3 linked regions of the Nothobranchius furzeri genome follow. The main gene of each other region encodes a partner of the protein of the gene in region 2 in a complex. Links are inferred from orthologs where the notes say so. Each region holds a gene or a part of one and is shown on either strand. Other genes may lie near its edges.

Evidence for each region. The genes of interacting proteins can lie anywhere in the genome.
Region 1: the proteins of dgcr8 (region 2) and drosha are in contact, whole or in part, in a crystal structure (PDB 5B16), measured with the Homo sapiens proteins. The link is inferred for Nothobranchius furzeri from reciprocal best matches to the Homo sapiens genes DGCR8 and DROSHA. Residues at the interface, in NP_073557.3 of Homo sapiens: Asn728, Ile731, Leu732, Lys734, Leu735, Gln736, Glu738, Met739, Lys740, Leu742, Ala743, Arg746, Arg750; in NP_001369437.1 of Homo sapiens: Leu984, Leu987, Phe988, Thr998, Tyr999, Thr1001, Ala1002, Ile1003, Gln1005, His1008, Phe1069, Asp1073, Leu1074, Glu1076, Val1077, Trp1078, Asn1080, Pro1082.
Region 3: the proteins of dgcr8 (region 2) and enhancer of rudimentary homolog are in contact, whole or in part, in a crystal structure (PDB 7CNC), measured with the Homo sapiens proteins. The link is inferred for Nothobranchius furzeri from reciprocal best matches to the Homo sapiens genes DGCR8 and ERH. Residues at the interface, in NP_073557.3 of Homo sapiens: Lys107, Phe108, Ser109, Pro110, Asp111, Leu112, Leu114, Leu115; in NP_004441.1 of Homo sapiens: Val8, Pro10, Thr11, Thr18, Tyr19, Ala20, Glu27, Lys34, Met35, His39, Arg42, Met43, Phe60, Leu64.

Annotation. Positions count from the first base shown.
Region 1 is NC_091747.1:62,198,166-62,201,822, forward strand, and holds part of drosha (ribonuclease 3), read right to left. Parts: intron 2,845-3,657; coding exon 2,764-2,844; intron 2,419-2,763; coding exon 2,332-2,418; intron 2,248-2,331; coding exon 2,161-2,247; intron 199-2,160; coding exon 127-198; intron 1-126. UniProt on the Homo sapiens protein: Ribonuclease III double-stranded (ds) RNA-specific endoribonuclease that is involved in the initial step of microRNA (miRNA) biogenesis.
Region 2 is NC_091757.1:31,769,336-31,772,353, forward strand, and holds the end of dgcr8 (microprocessor complex subunit DGCR8), read left to right. Parts: intron 1-101; coding exon 102-229; intron 230-300; coding exon 301-414; intron 415-1,876; coding exon 1,877-1,960; 3' UTR 1,961-2,501; downstream 2,502-3,018.
Region 3 is NC_091758.1:16,832,210-16,834,786, forward strand, and holds the end of enhancer of rudimentary homolog, read left to right. Parts: intron 1-1,603; coding exon 1,604-1,724; intron 1,725-1,798; coding exon 1,799-1,901; 3' UTR 1,902-1,993; downstream 1,994-2,577. UniProt on the Homo sapiens protein: May have a role in the cell cycle.

The sequences.
Region 1 (3,657 bases), on a different chromosome or scaffold from region 2:
ACCTTGGCTCACCCAAACGCGGCGGCGTGAGAGCTACACGAGCTCAGCTGTGCTCAGACTCAGCCGTTTGAGATAAAAACAACGAGGGTGAGAAAGAGCGGGGAGATAAAGTGCTGTTGGACTGACCTCCGGCGCCATCTCCTCTATGAAGTGAATGGTGTAATCTATGTTGAAGCGGATCACTCGGCACAATGGAATCTGTGATGATGAAAGGAGCAGAGGACGAGGAGAAGAAAAGGACAGAGCGTCTCATTACCACAGCGACAGGCAGAGGTTACAGCTTCTCAAGGAAACTCATTAAAACCTCATTTTCTCTGCAGAAACCACGTGCATGTATGGAAACTATATGCTAAATTGTGTAAAAACATGTAAAACCTCTGATAATACCACAAACCCACCCTCCCATGGAGCGCGCGCCTCCCCACACACACGCACACACACACACACGAGCGCCCTGGAAATTAAGCAACTCAAATCTGGCTAAAAGGATAAGCCGGCTCGTCTGTGTTTAATCTCCCCGGTTACACGGTCTTTGTTGTCGGAGCACAGGGGTTCATTCGGAGAGATTAACCTGGAGCAACGCTCCTTCCTGCCCATCTCAGCGGCTAACTAGCAGGGAGCTAATATGGCCATGCTCTCAGGTTTCTAATCCCCGTTCTGTCGCCAAACGATTGCCCCGGCTTGTAAAAAGCACCGTGGAAATTATCTGGTGTAAATCAGGCCTGATCCGCCGGGCTGCAGCGCAGATATTGATCACATTATTTAAACGGACTGGAGCACGAATCACCGCAGGTTGGGAACGTTTTCTCCAACCTGGCAAACCCCCGTCGGGTTTTCGTCTGGCTTCCTGTTAAATCGCAACCTCTTCAATGGCTGACGGACACCGAGGCCAGCCCTGTGAGAGGGAAGCACTTTGTCCAAACTACAAAGGAGTCGACCCGAAGCCGAGGGATGATTTGAAGTTGTGTTTTAGGAAAAAGGAGGTTTTCACTTAAACTCCAGCAGGAAGGACGAACATTAGCAGGCTGAGGCGTGGAGGAGGACGCCCGCCTGTGATGGTGGGTGAGAACCTGCCTGAGCAGCTGGTGGACACTTGGGCCGAGATAACAAGGCTGATGGTGGATCAGAGCATCTGTCAGGCTGATTCACACCAAGCAAGACATTATTATGCTAAAACAAGAGAAGACGAAGCATACTTTACATCGAAGGCGGTCGGCAGGTCACGCCCACTGTGACGAACCTTCGGACCGTTGGAGCGGCTAAAAAAGGACCAAAAACATAAAATCCTAACGATGGAAATCCCATAAATCACAGCTACTATAGTCAGCTGTTTCTGAACAAAGTCAAAACTACACTGAGGAGTGTTTGAAGGTCTGGTTTCCATAGAAACCGTGTAATCCTTGTTCATTTAGATATGTGATCGGCCACTCTGGCCGGGCCTTCCCACATCCGTGAAGTGAGGTACGCAGCAACCAGCCGCCGTAGTAGCAGAAGAGTGCAAGCAGCGCATTTGTTTAACGTTCCAGAAGCGTAGGGACGCGTCACTTCTGCTAAATTCACGACTCGAGTCTATTTTTTTACACGCCACGCTCAGCAGGTTAGACCGGGCCAGACAGGAAGTCAAACACTAAAGCAGTGGGAACATCTGGTGACTTTCAGATTTAAAGTCACGTGCACATTTCCAGGTCTGTACCAGTAAAAAACAATGGCGCTGACTGTGAAACCTCCGTAGCCGAAGTAAATAGGACAGAAAACAAACCAGACGCGTAGGAAGATGCTGCCATCGTTCAGACTAAAAGAACGCAGAAAGGAAACAGACGGGAAAACGAGGCACGATTCCTCCACGTCACAGCGGTAATTTGCATTCATGACCACGCCCACCTCGGCTTGGGACCGCCCACAGGAAGGAGAGAGCAGAGCGCGTCTCGGTTAGTGAAAGCTAGCCATTAGCATTAGCAACCTCACACAGTGGCAAACATGTTGACGCTTGTTTGTGGAGAGAAAAAAAAAGGAAGAGCGGAGGAAGCAGAAAATAGCTCACAAGGCATTCACTCATTCATTCTATAAACCAGACTAATCTACAGGAAATAAGCATGAATGAGAGCTTTAAGACCCTCGTGCAAGTTCTGGAGGGAACGGCGTTCCAACTTTCAGACTCACGCTAGTGAGGGGCGTGTGAGAGAAGAGAGAGAAGCCTTCAAACAGGTACTCGTGGTCGTCGTACTCGATCACCGTCGGCCGGTCCGTCTGGAAGTCAATTACAGAAAGACTCGCGTCACAAACACAGAAAAACAGCCAAACCACTCGTTTCGGTTGAGAACGGCGTCCTACCAGGAAGTTGGTGGGAGGAGACACGGTGATTCTGTAGTGGAACAGTTTCCCAGCGTTGTTGTTCATCGGACGGCACTGCCTCACGGGCTGGGGACAAAACACCAGAAAGATCCCTCATCAGTTACTGGACCCAGTAAAACCAACTAAAGAGGAAAACATGAATGTTTCTGAGGATTGTGAATGGATGAGTGGATTAAATCATGAATGTTTGTTTACTGGACATAAAACCTCAAAGTCGTTCATAAAAATGTTCTCAGTCATAAGGACACGAGTCTATTTATTAAGATATAACACCGTTTAGCTCATGACGGTGAGTTAACGGGGTGTGTGTGTGTGTGTGTGTGTGTGTGTGTGTGTGTGGGGCGTCCTTGGCCCGCCGCGGCTCAGCCTGAAGGTTATGAACGGAGGTGATTTATTCACGCCGTGTCCCACCTCCTCTCCTGGGTAGATGCTGTGGCGGATCCCGGTGCGTCTGGCCTTGGCGCTGCACTTACACAGGGGGCCATCATTCATCTGGACAGAAAGAAAATGCGTGAATCGGACAGCGCCGCTTCACCTGCCAGGTGTAACACAAAGGCCGAGGAACGCTTCACATGTCTGGACTGCAGCACGGCGACCTTTACGTCTCTTCTGCACTTTGAAGTTGGGAGTTTGAAGTTTCCCTGGCAGGTTCTGCCTTTGTTAGGAACCTCAAACAACCCAAGTTTATAGGAGAAAACCACCTTTTATCCACTCAGGCTTTAAATATTCTGAATTTAACGTGACAAACCTAATTTGGCTCCTAAATTAAATAAATCCAGACGATAAATTCAGCCCAAAACTCGGAAACTCTCCACTGAGAGCGACAGAACCCTTTGAAGGGATGGTCCTCCATAAAACTAGGTCCTAGGGTCGGGCTTATCGTCTGACCTCACGTCTGTGAGCCCAGCAGGCTTCAGGGGAGGCAAACATCCCATCAGAGCTTCGAGGACAAACATTAGGCTCTCACGCCTTCGCAGAGACTAAATTCAAGCCTCATCAAGGATTTCAAGCACCCATTCTGAACTTTTCACCACTTCATCACAAAAGCAGCGGTTGTTGAAGTAGGTGCGAAGAGTTCAGAGGTGAAGTTTGTTCTTCACACTGTTGCTAAAGTTAAACCAAGCACCTTTTAACCTCCCTGTTTCATAAAACTAAATATTATTGTGACAAAAGGGTCGATGCTACATCTCAGCACCATTACTGCACTATTTCTGCTGTTGCAAACGATGAAAACATGAATATTATTTGAGGTCGACTGTTAATGCTGAAGGTGTTGTGCCTAAAACGGTTTCCACGACTAGTTTA
Region 2 (3,018 bases):
GCTGTCTGTTCTAGTTATATCTGTGTTTAGGTAGGATTTCGCAGCATCCCGGTGTAGTTTTCATAAACGGGTTTTGTGCATTTGTCGTTTTTTGTCGCTAGGTAAGAACAAAAGGGTTGGCAAACAGCTAGCCTCTCAAAAGATCTTGCAGATGCTGCACCCTCATGTTAAGAACTGGGGCTCATTGCTACGAATGTACGGCAGAGAAAGCAACAAGATGGTCAAGAAGGTGAGGGTCCTCCTGAGCTGGAAGGTAGAAATTTACCAGAAATGAATTAAATGAACTTGTGCTTTCCTCAGGAGAGCTCCGACAAGAGTGTGATTGAGCTTCAGCAGTATGCCAAAAAGAACAAGCCAAACCTTCACATCTTGAACAAACTGCAAGAGGAGATGCAAAAGCTGGCAGCTCAGAGGGTAAGAACAGAGCCAGACACACGTTAGCGTTAGCTCGTTTTAGTTCCTACTCCTGATTCAGCAGGAGTTCTGCAGCGGCCCGTTTTAAAACCAGGTGTGTTGAAGCAGAGAAACTACAACAGGGATGCCCAGTCCTGGTGTTGGAGGGCTGGTATCCAGCATGTTTTTGTTGTTTCACTTCAACACATTTAATTCAGTGGTTGATTCACCTGTTCAACATGTTATCTAGCTCTACAGAAGCCTGTTAATCACCTAATTGATACTGAGCGTGTTGAAGCAGTGAAAGAACTAAAACGTGTTGGATATTACTCCTCCCTGATATAAAATTTTTACTTTTCCCAATTTTATACTTTTTAAATTTTGTTTGTTCAGTTATTGTTCTTGTGAAGCACCTCGTGGTTTTTAAAATATCTCTTCCTCCTTATGATGGATGGATGGGGGCTTTCAGGGACCAGGGCTGGACACTATTGTTTTAGGACATGTCCATTATGGACACCGCCCAAACCTCTCCCTGCAGTTCCAGCCCTGACGCTTCTGGCCTCCCGGTTGGTCCAGACCGGCGCTCCTGCCGGCATCTGATGAGCTCAGCTGGGCAACATTACCGTTGATTAGTTGCCCGGGAGACAAAAGGCAGTGATCTCAACCAGTCGAGGAGGCAAACCAGGATGACAACACTTGGTTTTTGCTCCGCGGTAGTTGGAGACCTCAGTGGTTGGTGGTAATTTAAAAACAGAGTTTAGAGTTACGAATGTTTTGTGAGTAATGTTAACTGGGTTAACTGGGAACGATCATTAGAAGATCTTTGACGTTGCCCTTTTGAATCTGTTAAACGCCCGCCCGGTTTTGGGAGAGTAAATTTAGTTGTGAAGATGGTCCTTTGAATTTAATCTTTGTGTTCTCGTTTGTCCCTCTGAGGATTTGAGTTACTTTGGTAGATAACTGGACTGTTTTCATTTAGATTAAATTTTGCATAAAAAGGATAATTCCTTATTTAATTGTAGCTTGTTTTGAGAAGGTGAAATCCCTGCATTTCATTTCATTCCAATCCGTTAAATAACTTGTTCCTTTCGTTAGAATATAGGCGTTTTTGTTTCGGTAACGTCCTCCCTGTGTTTTTCCGTTTTTGGCCCTTTAAAAAAAAAAACATTTATAGATTTTCCACCTGTCAAGTTTTGTTACCCCCTCCTCTCCACACGATGCACCAGTGCCGGGGTTGTAACATCAGTAACTAAAGGTTAAATTATGTTTAAATGATTGAGTCTGGGAGTGCGGACTGCCCATTCCTGAGGCTGATTTCTGTTTTTCAAGTGAGAACCCCAGTCTGGAGGAGTGGAGTCCAGTTGTTTTGTGTGATTTTACAGAAACGATTCCTGGTGCAAACCTTCTGTAGTTGTTTTCCATGAAGTCCGGTCTTTCTAAACGCATTGCTCATGAACTTTGTACTTGACTGTTTTCACATCAGGAGGAGACGAGAAAGAAACCCAAGATGACCATAATGGAGTCTGCCCAGCCGGGGAGTGAGCCTCTCTGCACTGTTGATGTTTAATTCTCATAAATCACTGATGAACCACCGCACTGAAAGCCGGTCACTGTCAAAGGTCACCCCCACGACGAAAGTATGCATCTCTGAGACAAAAGGACGGTGTAGTCCCACGTTTGACCAGCTGGCTTCCCTCACACACACACCCTCTCGTGACTGAGCAGATTGTTATAATGGTAGGACTAAATGCACTTACAGACCCCCGACTAAATACCTCTCTAGTTGCAGCTTTCTACGGCACTGAAACTTTATTGATTAAAATATGAACCACATCAGATTACAGCATGCATACGTGTTTAATCCATAAAAACCTCTGTGCTCATTGGTTTCTCGGTCAGTGTTTTCTAGTCACAATCTCATGGTTTCAGTGCTTGAAGTGTTTGAAAGGGACTACTAATATTTGTACTTTTACCATTCAAATGATTGGAAATCAAACTTTCTGGTTTATTTAGTGTTTTAATCGTAGTTTCTGGATATTTTGGGTGAGGAATGCAATTGTTCCGTTTTATCAATGAGAAGTTGTCGTCTTGCTTTGCATGACAAGAACATGCGTTGTGAAGTGATCACTGTTCAGAACTATTGGTGTGTGTGCGTGTGTGTGTGTGATGTTCTTGTTGTTGGTCTGACTGCTTCTGAGACTTGGGTGGACGCTTTGTTTTGCTTTGGTTCTTCACCCCATCCTGGCTCTGCTGTAAACCCAGTCCAGAGCCCGAGTCCTTTACTCCTACCCTACTGCCATGCACCGGTTGCTTTAGACATTTCATTTCTGATGCCCTTCTTTTAAAAAGGTAAATGAAGTTGGCTACATGTTGCCTTAGTTGATCCATTTCATGAAGGGCTCAAGTGCTAAATGTTACATCGGACCTAGAATAACCTTCAGCAGGAAGTGGGAGACCAAGGCCCATTCACATGATGAAGCATTTAACAGTCAGGTAAATATATTTAAGGCCTGTTCAGTGTCACGAGTAGAGTAGTAAGCAGCATGTGCAGAATTTTACGAGTCGTCTATGGATCGTGGTTTCTTGTGTTTGCCATCATTCTTGCTGTATAACCACAGGAGAACA
Region 3 (2,577 bases), on a different chromosome or scaffold from region 2:
CACACAAAAAATAAATGGAAAAAATAAGATAAATCTAATGAAAAGTGTACATCTTTGACATTAAGCTTAAAAAAATCTGTTGACAATGATGATACTGTTCATTTTTCAGAGCTTTTTAATGTGAAAATATACATTGCAATAGATAAGTTTACAATAAAGTTAAATGATAAAAGTTTTGAAGTTACACTTCTACTACTACTAGTTAATAATAATTATGATGATAATAGTAATAATAATGAAAAAATAATTATAATAATACGAACAAATTGTGTCTGAGGAGTCAGTTATGTGGAGGAGATGAGTTTGTAAAAGTTAGTTTTGAGTATGTGTGTGAAGGAGGAGGTGAGTCTGAGCTTAATGCAGGTCTGTCACATGTTCCAACTTACGTTTTGACTTTGAAAGAAGTCTCTTATATCCACTTTTCGTTTTCTTGACATGCTGCCTCCTGGCTGTGCCTAACTACCAAAGACTCACAAATGAACACTTATTCAAATGTTATGTAATGGAAGCTGAGCTGAGCTCTGATATTACACAGCGTCTAGTTGACGATGTGACTCAGTACCGGTGTTCCCTAGCGGCTCCAAACTAGCAAAACAACGTGAGCACGTTCTGACTGTTTACAACTTGAGTGACAGCAGCAACAGCCAATAATACGTTAGCAAGTATCAGCAGAGCCAATAGATTAGCTTTTGGGCGGGTCTAATAGGAAACCGGTTTCCGTTTCGGTCCTAGTGCTCAACCAAATCCATTTAATGGAGCGTAACATTGTTTTTGGACGGAAAAAAGTGCAGGGGACCAAAACTGCCTTTTGAAAAAGTGGGGGGGACATGTCCCACCCGTCCCCCCCCAAAATTACGTCCCAGACTCTACCACTACGCCACTGAGCTGGTTCAGAAGATCTGTGTTTAGTTCTCCAAAGCATCTTTCATAAAACAATGGAGCCACCACAGTACTTTCAAAAGACACATTGTGGCGGCGTTATTACCTTGACTTGCCACCATGATGAAATAGGCTCTTGGTGTTTGGATAAACCTACCAGTGTAGCTAGAAGTTCTGATGCTGTTTTGAATTCAATGGGTGGTCTCACCAACTATTGATTTGATTTAGGTTCATCTTTTGTTCATTCACTGTTTTTTTGATAGATTAAAACTACTGATTAACACTTCCATTTTTGAAATTGTCCTCTGTTCACAGCATTTTTCCACACCTGCTTAAAACCTTTACACAGTAATGTACAGCAACACATGACTCTATGTACCTACAGATCCACTTTCAGGGTTCTTGTCCCAGGATACCTGGACGTGTTGCTAGCTGGGGCCGGTGATCAAACCGCTCTCCTTCCCATCAGTGGCCAAATGCTCTTTCCTTTTGAGCCACTGCTAAAATCTGTTCATGATAAAAGTCCAAGCTGGTAAACTGTTCAAACAGGCTCTTTCCAGTTCAAAAGGGTTTAAAAGAACCAAAGTCCAGAAACTCATCAGAAGTAATTCAGACAGGTTACACAAACAGGTGAAAACTGGAAAGCGATACACTCACTGAAGACCAACAAACCTTTAGTTTTTTTGACTTCCATTAGTAGTTGTGTTTTGTGTCTCCTGTACAGGTGTGTGTAAGATGTATGAGGAGCATTTAAAGAGAATGAACCCCAACAGTCCGTCGATAACGTACGACATCAGCCAGCTGTTTGACTTCATCGATGACCTGGCTGACCTCAGCTGTTTGGTGTGAGTTTGATTAAAACAAAGTGTTATTCAGCCTTTATGAAGAGCTGTAATAAGCACCCACGTTGGTTCCTCAGGTATCGCGCCGACACGCAGACGTACCAGCCGTACAACAAGGACTGGATCAAAGAGAAGATCTATGTGCTGCTGCGTCGTCAGGCTCAGCAGGCGGGGAAGTGAAGCTGGTGATTGGGAGTGGTAGTTAAAGTAGTGCTTTTTAAATGGGGGGGGGGGGGTTGTATTTTATATGTTTGACTTATTAATAAAGATTCACATTAACAGTCATTTTCAATTAGTTGGTTTGTTGTTTTCTAGTTTATTTGCTTTTCAATCTTTTTTTTTGCATTTCCACTCTCTTCAAAAAATCTTAAAATTTCTTGAATAATGTTTTTATGGAATCTGCTTTCCCTGCCCTTTCCTCTGAAACTAGCACAAGAGGAGTTTTACCACTGATGCTGCTGGTTTATACTCTCAGGAAAGGACAAAATTAAAAAAAATTTCCTTTAAAGAGATGATTAAGACTTCTTGTTTCCGTTTTTTTAACAAGGTTATTTTTTACAACATATTTAATTAGAACGAACCACATAAAACAACCTCACCACCCACCTGGCTACACTGGATGAACCTTTAAAACAGAAAACAAACAAAACAGGTGACAAAGTGACACTAAATCTAAATGCTATTACAATCTCATGAAAGAAATAAAAGAAACAATAAAATTTGTTCAATGTGTCCCATAAAGTGTTCCTGATTTTCTCCAGGTGGATATGGAACATCATCTCTGCGACCCAGTGGCTGGAGAGTGAGAGTCCTTCCATTTGGAAAGAATGGGTCTATTAGCCAGCAAAAGGCTCTT